4 linked regions of the Saccharomyces cerevisiae S288C genome follow. Changing the gene in region 1 together with any one later gene gives a genetic interaction. Each region holds a gene or a part of one and is shown in the gene's direction. Other genes may lie near its edges.

Region 1 (3,760 bases):
GCGTGTGGGTTAGATATGAATAAAAGAATACTACAATACATGCCGGAACCACCAAAATGCTCTTCCTTGAGACAAAAAAGCTATATCATGAAGAAAAGAACACATTATAGTTATCAGCAGGAACAAAAAATTCCTGATTTAATTAAATTAAGGAAAATCAATACCAATCCGGAAAGAATTCTTGATGCACCTGGTTTCCAAGACGACTTTTATTTAAACTTGTTAAGTTGGTCCAAAAAAAATGTCTTAGCTATAGCACTAGACACTGCATTATATCTGTGGAATGCCACCACTGGGGATGTTTCCCTGTTAACGGATTTCGAAAACACCACAATATGCAGCGTTACGTGGTCTGATGATGATTGTCATATCTCTATCGGTAAAGAGGATGGGAACACCGAAATTTGGGACGTTGAGACCATGTCATTAATTAGAACTATGAGATCAGGCTTAGGTGTCCGTATCGGTTCATTGTCTTGGTTAGATACTTTGATAGCTACAGGCAGTCGTAGTGGAGAAATTCAAATCAATGATGTCAGGATCAAACAGCATATTGTATCTACATGGGCAGAGCACACAGGCGAAGTCTGCGGTTTGAGCTATAAAAGTGACGGATTGCAACTTGCATCTGGTGGTAATGATAACACTGTAATGATTTGGGATACCAGAACGTCCTTGCCTCAATTTTCCAAGAAGACGCATACTGCTGCTGTAAAAGCACTAAGCTGGTGTCCATATTCGCCAAATATTCTAGCCTCTGGAGGCGGACAAACAGATAAACACATCCATTTTTGGAACAGTATCACAGGTGCACGAGTTGGCTCAATCAATACCGGATCCCAGGTGAGCTCTTTACATTGGGGCCAAAGTCATACGTCAACCAATGGTGGTATGATGAATAAAGAGATTGTTGCCACAGGAGGTAATCCAGAGAATGCAATCTCTGTTTATAATTATGAAACAAAATTCAAAGTTGCAGAAGTAGTTCATGCTCATGAAGCAAGAATATGCTGTTCTCAATTGTCCCCTGACGGAACCACATTGGCCACAGTGGGAGGAGATGAAAACTTAAAATTTTATAAGATATTTGATCCAAGATGTACAGGAAGATCGAGAGAAGACGGATTGATGGATGGTATGCTAGGACTTATTGGCAAGGAAGGTTGTCGAACAAATGATAAGGAGAATCGTTCCAAAAATTCGAGTGAGATTCATACAAGGAGGCCCTCTAGTACCAGCCAATATTTGATCAGGTGATAAAATAAAAAAAATAAAAGTTCATGTCAAGGCATATAATGAAATTTCCATACACGCATACATAATGTATAAACATAAATGTATTCAAGAAGCTTAAGAAATAAAAGTAATGAACCTTGAGAATACATCAAGATATAACTCATCACATGTTAAAGAACCCACACACCACACGCGCGAGAACTGGGAGGGAGAGAAATTTAGCAAATAACAAAATTTAGGCCTTGGAAGAAACCATAGCAATGCAATAATCGTTATTAACATAATATCTACATTGAGAACTTCTTGGGCTAGTGGTTTTGCTGCAAACTGGAAAATTGTATCAATCTTTTAACGTTAGCTAAACATCTTCTGCTGTGTTAGCATTAGGAGGAAGCGAAAAGGAAAATACATAATGAAACCGACACAGGATTCACAAGAAAAGGTTTCTATTGAACAGCAGTTAGCTGTAGAATCGATAAGGAAGTTTTTGAACTCGAAAACATCTTATGACGTGTTGCCTGTTTCTTACCGTTTAATTGTCTTGGACACCTCGTTGTTAGTGAAGAAATCACTGAATGTTCTTTTGCAAAATAGCATTGTCTCTGCGCCATTATGGGACTCCAAGACTTCCAGGTTCGCTGGACTTCTAACTACTACAGATTTTATTAATGTCATCCAGTATTACTTCTCCAATCCAGATAAGTTCGAATTAGTAGACAAATTACAGTTAGATGGATTAAAAGATATAGAGCGTGCTCTCGGTGTTGATCAACTAGATACAGCTTCAATTCATCCTTCTAGACCCTTATTTGAGGCGTGTCTTAAGATGTTAGAATCAAGAAGTGGTAGAATACCACTGATCGATCAAGATGAAGAGACACATAGAGAAATTGTCGTTAGTGTTCTTACGCAATATAGAATTCTGAAGTTCGTTGCTTTAAATTGCAGGGAAACACATTTTCTAAAGATTCCAATTGGGGACTTGAACATTATTACGCAAGATAACATGAAAAGCTGTCAAATGACCACTCCGGTCATAGACGTCATTCAGATGCTTACCCAAGGTCGGGTTTCTTCCGTCCCTATTATTGACGAAAACGGCTACTTAATCAACGTATATGAAGCATACGATGTCCTAGGCTTGATAAAAGGAGGCATCTACAACGACCTGTCATTGAGCGTCGGAGAAGCCCTTATGAGGAGAAGTGATGATTTTGAGGGTGTTTATACATGCACTAAGAATGATAAATTATCTACTATTATGGATAACATCAGAAAAGCAAGGGTGCATAGATTCTTTGTAGTTGATGACGTCGGACGGTTGGTTGGTGTCTTGACGTTAAGCGATATTCTCAAATATATCCTTCTAGGTAGCAACTGAAACGAGCCGATGAGATTTTTGTGTACATACTATAAATAAATGCAACTAATAAAGTCATGATTAATCAGTCATGCATACTTCATCTGACCAATATATTTTCATCTTGCTTATTTTGGGTATAATTCGGCGGAAATTCGGTTATAAAGCGAAGTGAAAAATCGATTAGTAATGATACTGATGCGATCTCTGGGAGGGGGGAATGCTGCATATAAGGGTGAAGGAAGATAATGCAAAGCCTTTTGTAGTATTGTCTGTTGATACCAAAATAAATTAGTTCATCAAAAAGGTACAGGCAGCTAAAGAAAAGCTGTAAATTTAACGCCGTAGAAGGTATTTTTCGTGAGATCTATCTCAAGGCATCATTTTTTTTATTTTCGCACCAAGATAGGAAGAAAAAGAGTCACAGTATAGAGGACTAACCGTTAAAGATTCTAAATCGGTACTGTAAATACTTTGAAATGCCTCAATCTACTCCAAGTCAAGAAGTACAGCGTGTACCATGGGATAATAAACCTGCTTTGAAGCAGATAACACTCCGAGCAACCATAGCAGGTATCGCTATAGGGTCTCTGGTGCTAACATCAAATTTTCAATTTGGCCTGCAAACCGGTTGGGTTTCCATGATGTCCCTGCCATCGGCATTGTTAGCTTGTGCTTTCTTTAAAAATATCTGGCCATTAATATTTCCGAACGACAGGCCTTTCAGTGACGTTGAAAATGTATACGTACAAAGTATGGCAGTAGCTGTCGGAACAGGCCCATTAGCCTTTGGGTTTGTCGGCGTCATACCTGCCATCGAGAAGTTCCTTACTAACGACGAAAGTGGTGGATTAAGGGAACAAGGACAGTCCTTCACTTTTAGAGAATTGTTAATATGGTCCACAGCCCTAGCATTCTTCGGTATTTTTTTTGCAGTTCCTCTAAGAAAGCAAGTAATTGTTAGAGAGAAACTTCCCTTCCCCAGTGGTAGCGCCACGGCCACTTTAATTTCAGTGCTAAATGGAACTGAGATTTTACAAGAGGTTTCTAAGTCAGAGTTATTGGAAATGAGGCAGAGGAGATTGAATGAATGCCCTGAAGTGCTACAACCCAACAGAGATCCAGAGGAGGCGGATTATTTAATGAACTCTTCTCATAGCGAAC
Region 2 (3,485 bases), on another chromosome or scaffold:
GAATTGGCTGAACAGGGAACGTGTCGATGTCAGCATAAACACCTCCATGAACTAACAGTATTAAGTATTTGAAAAAATCTATCTTTAGGATGATGGAGGGCAGAGCTTCGTAAGTCTCTAGGATTTCCGGTATGGAGTAGAAGTAGTGGTGTACTAGTGCGTTTATCACGTCATGGTTCAACACTTCGTGCGCAAAGCCCGGATTCTTGCTTTCCCACATGCCCTTTATATCTTGAACACGCTCGGGACCTTCATCATTGGACCAAGTTTGCCAAATAAATGCTGGGAACTTGACATGGGAATCGTAGGGGAAAGTCATAGCTATGCGTTCTCTTAGGGTGGCCTCCGGAGGTGTTTGTTTCAAGTCTTGGATTTTTTTTTCCAGGATCTTACGTTGTTTATCAAATTGCTTTGCTTGAACTTCCTGTTGGTGTCTGATCTCCTGAGCCAAACTCTCAAAATGTTGAACTAGATCAGAATCCGAACTCTGAATATTGTTGGCACTATTAATGCTTTGGGAAATCTCTTTGGGCAAGTTCTGCAGAATTTTTTGTAAATCAGTAGCATTAGAATTGTGAAATAGGTATCTAACTCCAAATGCTAATGAGATGAGGGCTATTATGGCGAATATCATCAACCTCCTGAAACTGGAGGCTCTTTTTGTTGTTTTGGCCATCGTTAACCGCTACAGTCTATATATCTATCTGCTGTCTTCCGAGTAGAGTGCCTCTTCTCTGCAAGAATACGTGCAAAATGGAAAGAGAGGAATGTTCATTATGGTCACTGTTATTTTTTCACTTTCTTCGCTGCTGGGAAATTTCGTTATACTTATCGGAAAAAACATGTAATACGCTATATAGTAGAAATAAAAAGGTAATATAAACATAAGGTTAAAATTTGAAAGATTAAGCAAACAGCGACGTGTCCACAACGTGAAACTTCCGTACCATTTCTTGCAACAATTGGTAAACAGCATGACATCTTGCAGGCAACTCTTTGTTGCTTGCTTGCGACGCCTCCTCCTTTGTCAAAGGTACATTAATGGAGATGACCACATCCGTGTCAAACTGGGTTAATCTGATCAACGCTACGCCGATGACAACGGTCTGTGCCAGATCTGGTTTTCCCCACTTATTTGCTACTTCCATAACGAGTCCGGTGAACTTGGTTCCTTGCTGAACAGTGTCTTCTTGTAAAGCTTCCCATTTGGTGGTCCCGTTCAACTCCGTCAGGTCTTCCACGTGGAACTGCCAAGCCTCCTTCAGATCGCTCTTGTCGACCGTCTCCAAGAGATCCACGATAATGCTTTCATTGGTGGCTAGTCCATCTTCGAATTCTTCTTCATCGCGACGGGAATTGACGTACACCTCCTGTGTATCGGGGACTTCTCTTAGAGTAGAAGCGTCTATAAACCCAGGTGGGACGACAGTAGTGATGGCGCCGCCGTATAATTCGACTTCCTTGTTGTTCATGCTTCCTTGATGACCAGGGTAGGTGTCAATGAGAGTGCATGTGGAAAGTTGCACCGGTTGTGAAATATGAGAAGCCTTTTCAATCTTCATATGCAAACCCACACATGCATCGTTGGTTTCTGTCCACTGCCACTGCAATGACCACTGGATAAGGGGTCTTTATAAGAGAACACATATGAAGAACATGAACGTTCTTGGACAGAGCCATAAACAGCAATTGAAGACAACAAGAATAGCGCAAGTCAAGCGATGAAGGAGTCAGTCCAAGAGATCATCCAGCAACTCATCCACAGTGTCGATTTACAGTCTTCCAAGTTCCAGCTGGCCATTGTGTGCACGATGTTCAATCCTATCTTTTGGAACATCGTTGCAAGAATGGAATACCACAAGCATTCTCTCACCAAGATGTGTGGTGGGGCCAGAAAGGGCTGTTACATGTTGGCGGCGACCATATTTTCGCTAGGTATCGTCAGAGACATGGTGTACGAGTCTGCATTGCGTGAACAGCCTACGTGTTCTCTGATCACGGGCGAGAACTGGACCAAGCTGGGTGTGGCTCTCTTTGGTTTGGGGCAAGTGCTTGTTTTGAGTTCCATGTACAAGCTGGGTATCACAGGGACGTACTTGGGTGACTATTTCGGCATCCTGATGGATGAGAGAGTCACCGGCTTCCCCTTCAACGTTTCCAACAACCCCATGTACCAGGGTTCCACTTTGTCCTTCTTGGGCATAGCCCTTTACAAAGGAAAGCCTGCGGGGCTGGTTGTTTCTGCCGTAGTTTACTTCATGTACAAGATCGCTCTTCGTTGGGAAGAACCTTTTACTGCCATGATCTACGCTAACCGTGATAAGGCCAAAAAGAATATGTAAGTGCTCTATTTCTATATATTCTATAATGTTAGAAGCCTATGCTATTACCGTTTCTATATAGCTCCATAAGCAATTTCTTCGCGAAAGTGAAAAAAAAAAATTTTAATGCGATGCTCTATTTAACAAGGAATACAATGAGAGCATCTAGCGCACACAAACAACTACAAAACGCAATAACGACACAGCAAGAATGAGTCTCAGCACAATCATATGTATTGGTATGGCCGGATCCGGTAAAACAACTTTCATGCAAAGGTTAAACTCCCACTTGCGGGCAGAGAAAACGCCACCATACGTAATCAATCTTGATCCTGCAGTATTGAGAGTCCCCTATGGTGCAAACATCGATATCAGAGACTCAATCAAATACAAGAAAGTGATGGAGAATTACCAGCTAGGTCCGAACGGTGCCATTGTCACCAGTTTGAATTTGTTCAGCACCAAGATTGATCAAGTTATTAGGTTGGTGGAACAGAAGAAGGACAAGTTCCAAAACTGCATCATCGACACTCCAGGCCAAATCGAATGTTTTGTGTGGAGTGCGTCGGGTGCCATTATCACGGAATCTTTTGCCTCCAGCTTTCCCACAGTGATTGCATATATCGTGGATACGCCTAGAAACTCATCCCCAACTACATTCATGAGTAACATGCTGTACGCCTGCTCCATTCTGTATAAGACCAAACTTCCCATGATTGTCGTTTTCAACAAGACCGACGTGTGCAAGGCAGATTTTGCTAAGGAATGGATGACGGATTTTGAGAGTTTCCAAGCAGCAATCAAGGAAGATCAAGACTTGAATGGTGACAATGGGCTGGGCTCCGGGTACATGAGCTCATTGGTCAATTCTATGTCACTGATGCTTGAAGAATTCTATTCCCAGCTAGACGTCGTGGGCGTTTCCAGTTTTACCGGAGACGGATTCGACGAATTTATGCAATGCGTAGACAAGAAAGTTGATGAATACGACCAATACTATAAGCAAGAACGTGAAAAAGCATTGAACCTAAAAAAGAAAAAGGAAGAGATGAGAAAGCAAAAATCATTGAATGGCCTGATGAAGGATCTAGGGTTAAACGAGAAGAGCAGCGCTGCAGCCAGCGACAACGACAGCATAGATGCCATTAGCGACCTCGAAGAGGA
Region 3 (3,723 bases), on another chromosome or scaffold:
AATGCTGGTTATCTATGTATCGGGACATGGTTGCAACGTTTCCAACAAGAACAAGAATAGAAAAAAAAATACCGAAAGCGTCCTTTGCGTTATACCTACCAACCGTGTACAAGCTTTACTCTTCTTGCTTTCTTTATTTGCTATGTATCTTTATGTTTATATGTATATAAATCTGCCTACTTGTCTTCCTTTGGCATGCCAACCCTATGTTTTTTCAATTGCTCAATTGCAAAGAAAATTAACATTGTGAATGGACCCAGTCTAGTGAAACTTGGCAACCACCCCCGGAACATGAAAGATGGGCCCTCTTTGCGGACAGCGTCGGCAAGGATCTTCAAAGCCGGTTGATGGTCTCCGCTGCCGTTCATGATACGTGTCTTCATGACGTCTGCTGGAGAGCACACAGTGGTGGCCACCAGGCCAGCCAACAGGGACGCTGTCAAGTGTGTATAGTTCTTGGATGCGTCGAAATCTAATTTTGTGACCAAGTAGTTCTTAAACACGTCATACGTAACGACCTGACTTGCCGTCATCAGTATGCCCCTAACCATGTTAGGCTTCCAACCGGTAAACAAGGTTTTCAGTCCACCCTCGTAGCGATATATCTTGTACACACCATCGATAGCGTTTTTGTAGTTTCTCCTCTTCGCTGCCTCCAAAGCAGAGTCGTTTTGCATTCTGATATTTACAACATCTGCAAAATTCCCTGCAAGCCCCCCAATGGCACCACTGAACATGGAGCAAGGTAAAAGATACGCCATGTTAGTCAATTGCTCGCGTGGGATCACATTCTCTTTCAACAAGTCGTATGCACCGAATCTCACCGTCGTGTATGTACATTGCCTCAACACAGCAGCGCTCAGGCCGGAATATAACCCCACCACACCTTCATTCGCCAAGATACTCTCCAACATCCTGAAGAGTGTGGGCTTGGGCATAGGAGCCGCCTGCAGTCTGACTTTGGCCAAGTCAAGAGGATGTGTCACCATGGTAGCAAAGATACCCGCTGCACCTCCGTACCACCATGGATACTTGATATTCTTACCGGCAGACTCTTTTGCGTTGGTTGACATGCCGTCCAGCTGTTGCGTTATCTTTTCGACACTTTCAGAGCAAGAGAAACGAACCTCTACACATAAATATGCATACGATTATGTATATCCATATATATATATACACTACAAGCCGACCGCCCGACCGTTTCCTGCCCCCAACATTGCAGCGTAATCGCTTGCCAAAGACCACACCTTGCAGCCCTTTTATACAAACATGTCTACGACGTACAGTGGAGAGGGCCCTTTCCTTGGCACTCAACTGAGATTGCGACGCGATACCTTCTGCGACCGTTCCTACTATCGCGGCCATAACTCCAACAACGACAGCGGATGCGCTGTTCTGCGGATGCGTGACCGTATCCGCAAAGAACGAAGATTAAATTTAGGGTCCCCGGCATTGAGGATGGTTCTGCCAAGAACTCACGATATAAACCAGTTGGTTGAGCATCGCATGGATGAGTATGGCGTATTTTGATTGCTCATATATAGTGGGGGGGAATACTCATGCTGTGAAAAGCACAACTCTTTTCACTCAACGAGGTTAATGCCTTCTTTGTCTCCACGCCGTTTTTTTCTGGCGCCCTTTTGAGAAAGATAGCCTGTCCCGTAATCGTGGCTTTGGCAGAGACAGAGGGTGAGCGAAAGAGCGGGCGAAACCGAGAATGGATTCCGAGTAAAGGATTGCGATGGCATGAAACAAAACCGAGAGGCACTCCTTGTAAGGACACACATACACAGACGTAAACATATATATACATACGTATACTCAAATATATCTTCGTATCATTAGGTCAGCTTCTCTCTTCCGCACGTAGAATTAGAGAATTAACGCAAGACTATACCATTATAAAAACGCATAAGAAACAGTTTCATCATGATTGACCGCACTAAAAACGAATCTCCAGCTTTTGAAGAGTCTCCGCTTACCCCCAATGTGTCTAACCTGAAACCATTCCCTTCTCAAAGCAACAAAATATCCACTCCAGTGACCGACCATAGGAGAAGACGGTCATCCAGCGTAATATCACATGTGGAACAGGAAACCTTCGAAGACGAAAATGACCAGCAGATGCTTCCCAACATGAACGCTACGTGGGTCGACCAGCGAGGCGCGTGGTTGATTCATATCGTCGTAATAGTACTCTTGAGGCTCTTCTACTCCTTGTTCGGGTCGACGCCCAAATGGACGTGGACTTTAACAAACATGACCTACATCATCGGATTCTATATCATGTTCCACCTTGTCAAAGGTACGCCCTTCGACTTTAACGGTGGTGCGTACGACAACCTGACCATGTGGGAGCAGATTAACGATGAGACTTTGTACACACCCACTAGAAAATTTCTGCTGATTGTACCCATTGTGTTGTTCCTGATTAGCAACCAGTACTACCGCAACGACATGACACTATTCCTCTCCAACCTCGCCGTGACGGTGCTTATTGGTGTCGTTCCTAAGCTGGGAATTACGCATAGACTAAGAATATCCATCCCTGGTATTACGGGCCGTGCTCAAATTAGTTAGTTGGCTCTGCCTATACGCATATATGTATATATATATATATATATATGTATGTATGTGTATATGTATATGTACGTATACCTTACATCATCATCTTTCTTTATATTCTCTCTAATGCGCATTTACATCGGAGTACACGTCAAATCTTCTTTGTTTGGTTAAGGGTACCGCTTGTCTAAATGACTCAATGACTTCGGGATCTAATTCAGCATAAATAATCTCTTCTCCCTCGCCAGCTTCAGCTACAATCTTGCCTCTAGGGTCCACCACTATAGAGTGGCCATATGCATGGTAAGAACTCTGTAGATTCCTTGCGGGAGAACATAACATCACGTACACTTGGTTGTCAACTGCCCTGCTTCTTGCCAGTAAATGCCAATGCAAGGGCCCTGTGACAGTGTTGAATGCACTAGGGTAGATCATGGCAAACGCACCCTTGCGTGCACTTAGCATTGCGAGTTCCGGAAACCTCATGTCATAGCATATACCTACGCCAAACTTACCATATTTCGTGTCAATGGTAGTAGACTTCTCTCCAGGGCTCAAGGTTTCACTTTCATGGAACGATATACCGTTAGGAATGTCTACATCGAAAAGATGGACCTTCCGATGCTTGTCAATCAACTTGCCATCCTCGTTGAAAATTATAGAGGTGTTGTAGATTTTGTCTGTCTTTGGATCCAATTCCGGAATTGTTCCTCCTACCAAGATGATTTTAAACTTATTGGCTAAATTAGACAGAAATTGAACTGACGTCGAAGGCTCTTTCGGATTGATAACTTCTGAATACTTTCTAAACTGATCAGTGGAGTACGGAGAATTGAAGCATTCTGGCAATACGACCAACTTGGTATCCGGCTGTTCCTTCATAGCCCTTTCAATGAACGTTGCAGCCCTTTGAAGATTGGCCATTTTGTCAGGACTCGAGCCTGACAGTTGGACCAACGCAACTTTAATTTTTTGTGAAAGAATCTTCGAAGCACTCATACTGGCGATCTTCACGCCCTCCTGCTACTACAAAAGCTGTGTTTTTACAAGAATCAAATTAAGTTAGCAAGATATCATACAACATTATTGATAATTTTAATATCGTGTTCGTACCTGATGACGTATCTGTGCATTGATAAGGCCCGCATGGTTTCAGAA
Region 4 (5,072 bases), on another chromosome or scaffold:
CTAAAGCTGTGAGAAGACATTTGAATGATCAACCAAACGCCGATATAGTCACTATTGGTGATAAAATTAAAATGCAGCTATTGAGAACCCATCCTAACAACATTAAATTGTCTATTAATGGAATTGGTAAAGATGCCCCAACTTTCCAAGAATCTGCTTTGATTGCCGATAAGTTATTGAGTGTCATGAAGGCCGGCACTTACCCAAAGATTTCCATTTTCTACAATGACCCAGTGTCTTCCCTATCTTTTGAACCATCTGAAAAACCGATCTTTAACGCCAAGACCATTGAACAATCCCCATCATTCGGCAAATTTGAGATCGACACGGACGCAAACGTTCCAAGAGATTTGTTTGAATATACTTTGGCTAACCAAATGTTGACAGCAATGGCTCAAGGTTATGCTGCTGAAATTTCCGCCAGAAGAAACGCTATGGATAACGCTTCCAAGAATGCCGGTGATATGATCAATCGTTACTCTATCTTGTACAACAGAACAAGACAAGCTGTCATTACTAATGAACTGGTTGATATTATTACTGGTGCTTCCTCTTTGGGATGATAAAAAAATCACCCTGCATTGCCTCTTTATTTGACGTTGTTTTTGTAGAACATGAAACGAATTTTGACTTGATGAGACGAAGTATATATCCAAAGAATACCTTAAATAGAAAAGGAAAGATAATAAATACTAAACACTACTATATATTCAGGTAAAATACAAAAATTATAACATTTTTAAAACTTTTTTTTTTTGAAAGTCCTTCTCGCTTTAGGATTTTTTCCCATTAAGATTATGATGGTTTCATGTATGTGTCAGTTAAAAAAAATATGGCTAAGTAGCAATGAAACGAACCAAGAAAATGAAAACAATATATAGTGCTGTTGAAATAACAAAGACATTGGTATATATTTGTAAAATGTCTGTTAAATGTTTTTTATCTCAGGTTCTTGCTTGTCTTTGGTAGAAGAAATTATAGTAAACAAACAAACAAACAAACAAAAAAAAAAAAAAAAAAATGGTCGCAATCTCAATGATTTGGTTTTTTACCAAGCGTATGCCCAGAATATTTGCATTAGCTTTTAATTTAATTTCAATATTTCTTTTGATTTTTCTTCTCATCGGCTGTTACAACCCGTCAAATCAGTCAACATTTCTAGTGAAGTATAAATTTGATGACAACTCACCTTTTTATACGATCATAGAGAAATCATATGAAAAATCAAATACAACTCTGGGCTTGGAGGAAGTCATTATAAGATCCGGTTACATGGGTGTTTGTATTGATAACATTCCCTCCCAATATAGCTCTTACAATAATATGACTACATTCTCCAATTCAATTTGCTATGCAAGAAAGAATTTAAGCTCGGTTCCCTTATACAGAGACTTGGAAATTCAACTCTCAAATATTGCATCTTCCAGCTCCAAAACCCAATCAAGCGTTGTCTTGAACATTTTGAAGTTAGCCCAATTAACTTCGGTTAATGTTATACATCCATATGTCTTGATGGCAACTGTAATCCTAACAATCCTAATGTTTCTATTTATTCTGTATGTAACTGTCCCTAAGTTACCATTCAAACTAGCGGTTAATAAATTTCTACTGTTGCTAAGTTCAACTATAGTTTTGACATGGGGTATTGGTGCGATGTGGACTCATGTAGGGATAAATGCAAGTTACAGATTGGTTCCATCATCAAGTATGAATATAATCACTGTCAAGAAGGGCAAGAAGGCAGCAGTAATGGCTTGGTTTAGCTTTGCATTCCTCCTTTTAGACAGTGTGGTTTTATGGTTAATATTTTTAAGGGATAGGAAAAGCTTGAAAGATGAAATTGATAATGTTCCATGTGCCCAAAATAGGTACAATAACTACTCTTCGGATTCATCTACATTGCATTCCAAAGTTTAGTTTTATCCTCAAATAAACATATAAGTTTTGAGCGGATATTTCAGAATGTCAATTTTTAAAAGTAAAAGGAGAAAAAATTTATATAATTCACGATTAACATTATATAATGTGATGAACTACTTAAAAAATTTAACGTTCGATAATTAAGTAACAACAGAGAAAATATGAGCTTACCTAAACTCTAATCATTACCGTCTGTTTTATTTACTGTCACCTTGATGAGCGACTAAAAAGATAGAACGCGGGTTTTTCGCGCAATGTAACAAAGCTCCAGAAATTTTTTATAAATACTAATGTTATAGCAAAAAAAATAAGGACCTTAAAGTCGTAAACTAAATTGAAAAGCCCAAATCATTCAAATTCTATATCGTTGAACTTTTAATAGGCTGCGAATACCGACTATGTCTCCCATACAGGTTGTTGTCTTTGCCTTGTCAAGGATTTTCCTGCTATTATTCAGACTTATCAAGCTAATTATAACCCCTATCCAGAAATCACTGGGTTATCTATTTGGTAATTATTTTGATGAATTAGACCGTAAATATAGATACAAGGAGGATTGGTATATTATTCCTTACTTTTTGAAAAGCGTGTTTTGTTATATCATTGATGTGAGAAGACATAGGTTTCAAAACTGGTACTTATTTATTAAACAGGTCCAACAAAATGGTGACCATTTAGCGATTAGTTACACCCGTCCCATGGCCGAAAAGGGAGAATTTCAACTCGAAACCTTTACGTATATTGAAACTTATAACATAGTGTTGAGATTGTCTCATATTTTGCATTTTGATTATAACGTTCAGGCCGGTGACTACGTGGCAATCGATTGTACTAATAAACCTCTTTTCGTATTTTTATGGCTTTCTTTGTGGAACATTGGGGCTATTCCAGCTTTTTTAAACTATAATACTAAAGGCACTCCGCTGGTTCACTCCCTAAAGATTTCCAATATTACGCAGGTATTTATTGACCCTGATGCCAGTAATCCGATCAGAGAATCGGAAGAAGAAATCAAAAACGCACTTCCTGATGTTAAATTAAACTATCTTGAAGAACAAGACTTAATGCATGAACTTTTAAATTCGCAATCACCGGAATTCTTACAACAAGACAACGTTAGGACACCACTAGGCTTGACCGATTTTAAACCCTCTATGTTAATTTATACATCTGGAACCACTGGTTTGCCTAAATCCGCTATTATGTCTTGGAGAAAATCCTCCGTAGGTTGTCAAGTTTTTGGTCATGTTTTACATATGACTAATGAAAGCACTGTGTTCACAGCCATGCCATTGTTCCATTCAACTGCTGCCTTATTAGGTGCGTGCGCCATTCTATCTCACGGTGGTTGCCTTGCGTTATCGCATAAATTTTCTGCCAGTACATTTTGGAAGCAAGTTTATTTAACAGGAGCCACGCACATCCAATATGTCGGAGAAGTCTGTAGATACCTGTTACATACGCCAATTTCTAAGTATGAAAAGATGCATAAGGTGAAGGTTGCTTATGGTAACGGGCTGAGACCTGACATCTGGCAGGACTTCAGGAAGAGGTTCAACATAGAAGTTATTGGTGAATTCTATGCCGCAACTGAAGCTCCTTTTGCTACAACTACCTTCCAGAAAGGTGACTTTGGAATTGGCGCATGTAGGAACTATGGTACTATAATTCAATGGTTTTTGTCATTCCAACAAACATTGGTAAGGATGGACCCAAATGACGATTCCGTTATATATAGAAATTCCAAGGGTTTCTGCGAAGTGGCCCCTGTTGGCGAACCAGGAGAAATGTTAATGAGAATCTTTTTCCCTAAAAAACCAGAAACATCTTTTCAAGGTTATCTTGGTAATGCCAAGGAAACAAAGTCCAAAGTTGTGAGGGATGTCTTCAGACGTGGCGATGCTTGGTATAGATGTGGAGATTTATTAAAAGCGGACGAATATGGATTATGGTATTTCCTTGATAGAATGGGTGATACTTTCAGATGGAAATCTGAAAATGTTTCCACTACTGAAGTAGAAGATCAGTTGACGGCCAGTAACAAAGAACAATATGCACAAGTTCTAGTTGTTGGTATTAAAGTACCTAAATATGAAGGTAGAGCTGGTTTTGCAGTTATTAAACTAACTGACAACTCTCTTGACATCACTGCAAAGACCAAATTATTAAATGATTCCTTGAGCCGGTTAAATCTACCGTCTTATGCTATGCCCCTATTTGTTAAATTTGTTGATGAAATTAAAATGACAGATAATCATAAAATTTTGAAGAAGGTTTATAGAGAGCAAAAATTACCAAAGGGTTTGGATGGAAATGACACTATTTTTTGGCTCAAGAATTACAAGCGCTATGAAGTCTTGACCGCTGCTGATTGGGAAGCCATCGATGCACAAACAATTAAATTATGATTTGATGTTCCTGAATTAGGATAAAGTATTTTTCCTTGCACGAGAGTACGTATGTAAACGTAATATTGATAAAGAATCAAAAAAAGTTTTATATCTATCTATATATGTACCTAATAACATATGGAAAGGATTATTTAAATTCAAAAAATAAAACAATAAAGTTTATAAACTAACCAAATTATTGTTAGAGTTGGTAATATTAGCACTTCAGTTAACTCAATACGATTGATCTTGAAACTATCGGTAACTGAATGGTTTGTTTCAGGATCACTTACGAATGATCCAGTGGAATAGTACCTTTCCATTAGAGCATCCTTCTCACTCCAAATTTTATACAGCCATTCTGAAAATTCATTCTCGTCCTCTAATGGAATATCTTTAACATCAAATGCTCTGATGTGAATATCGACTAACTTCGGGTATTTTCCTTCTAAAAATATGCTCTTCAGCCCATATATAAGCTCACCATATTCCTCCTGTTTTACACCGGAGTAGCCGATCGTAATATCATAAAGACTTTCAATACTTGGCTTCAACTTTTGTAACGAGTATCTTAGGCCTGTAGAATGAGGCAGTAGCACATTCTTGAATGGCTTTTTGCCTATTTTGGCAGCATATTTAGCACTTTTTTGCCTAGTATCAGCACTGAGATTTGTACCTTCAGGGAATAGGATAAGATTGTATGGCCAATGGATTTGTTTTGGATCAATAACCTCCGGATTCCATATGCTCTCTCCTTCCTCA

The links.
Region 2: mutations in SNF4 (region 1) and OPI3 together harm fitness more than expected from each alone (negative genetic interaction), as found in Saccharomyces cerevisiae (6 studies listed by BioGRID).
Region 3: mutations in SNF4 (region 1) and ORM2 together harm fitness more than expected from each alone (negative genetic interaction), as found in Saccharomyces cerevisiae (4 studies listed by BioGRID).
Region 4: mutations in SNF4 (region 1) and FAT1 together harm fitness more than expected from each alone (negative genetic interaction), as found in Saccharomyces cerevisiae (3 studies listed by BioGRID).

What each region holds. Positions count from the first base shown.
Region 1 is NC_001139.9:290,385-294,144, forward strand, and holds SNF4 (AMP-activated serine/threonine-protein kinase regulatory subunit SNF4), read left to right. Parts: upstream 1-1,648; coding exon 1,649-2,617; downstream 2,618-3,760. Other genes in the region: ubiquitin-protein transferase activating protein CDC20, read left to right, coding at 1-1,257; YGL114W (uncharacterized protein), read left to right, coding at 3,076-3,760. UniProt on the Saccharomyces cerevisiae protein: Adenine nucleotides-binding subunit gamma of AMP-activated protein kinase (AMPK), an energy sensor protein kinase that plays a key role in regulating cellular energy metabolism.
Region 2 is NC_001142.9:571,172-574,656, reverse strand, and holds OPI3 (bifunctional phosphatidyl-N-methylethanolamine N-methyltransferase/phosphatidyl-N-dimethylethanolamine N-methyltransferase), read left to right. Parts: upstream 1-1,721; coding exon 1,722-2,342; downstream 2,343-3,485. Other genes in the region: HOC1 (alpha-1,6-mannosyltransferase), read right to left, coding at 1-676; Ran GTPase-binding protein MOG1, read right to left, coding at 906-1,562; GTPase NPA3, read left to right, coding at 2,533-3,485. UniProt on the Saccharomyces cerevisiae protein: Catalyzes the second two steps of the methylation pathway of phosphatidylcholine biosynthesis, the SAM-dependent methylation of phosphatidylmonomethylethanolamine (PMME) to phosphatidyldimethylethanolamine (PDME) and of PDME to phosphatidylcholine (PC).
Region 3 is NC_001144.5:826,801-830,523, forward strand, and holds ORM2 (sphingolipid homeostasis protein ORM2), read left to right. Parts: upstream 1-1,929; coding exon 1,930-2,580; downstream 2,581-3,723. Other genes in the region: DIC1 (Dic1p), read right to left, coding at 177-1,073; NIT3 (putative hydrolase), read right to left, coding at 2,689-3,564. UniProt on the Saccharomyces cerevisiae protein: Component of the SPOTS complex that acts as a negative regulator of sphingolipid synthesis. Acts by inhibiting serine palmitoyltransferases (LCB1 and LCB2) activity.
Region 4 is NC_001134.8:315,948-321,019, forward strand, and holds FAT1 (long-chain fatty acid transporter FAT1), read left to right. Parts: upstream 1-2,318; coding exon 2,319-4,328; downstream 4,329-5,072. Other genes in the region: ATP3 (F1F0 ATP synthase subunit gamma), read left to right, coding at 1-563; FIG1 (Fig1p), read left to right, coding at 1,021-1,917; CST26 (putative acyltransferase), read right to left, coding at 4,469-5,072. UniProt on the Saccharomyces cerevisiae protein: Acyl-CoA synthetase required for both the import of long chain fatty acids (LCFAs) (C14-C18) and the activation very long chain fatty acids (VLCFAs) (C20-C26) by esterification of the fatty acids into metabolically active CoA-thioesters for subsequent degradation or incorporation into phospholipids.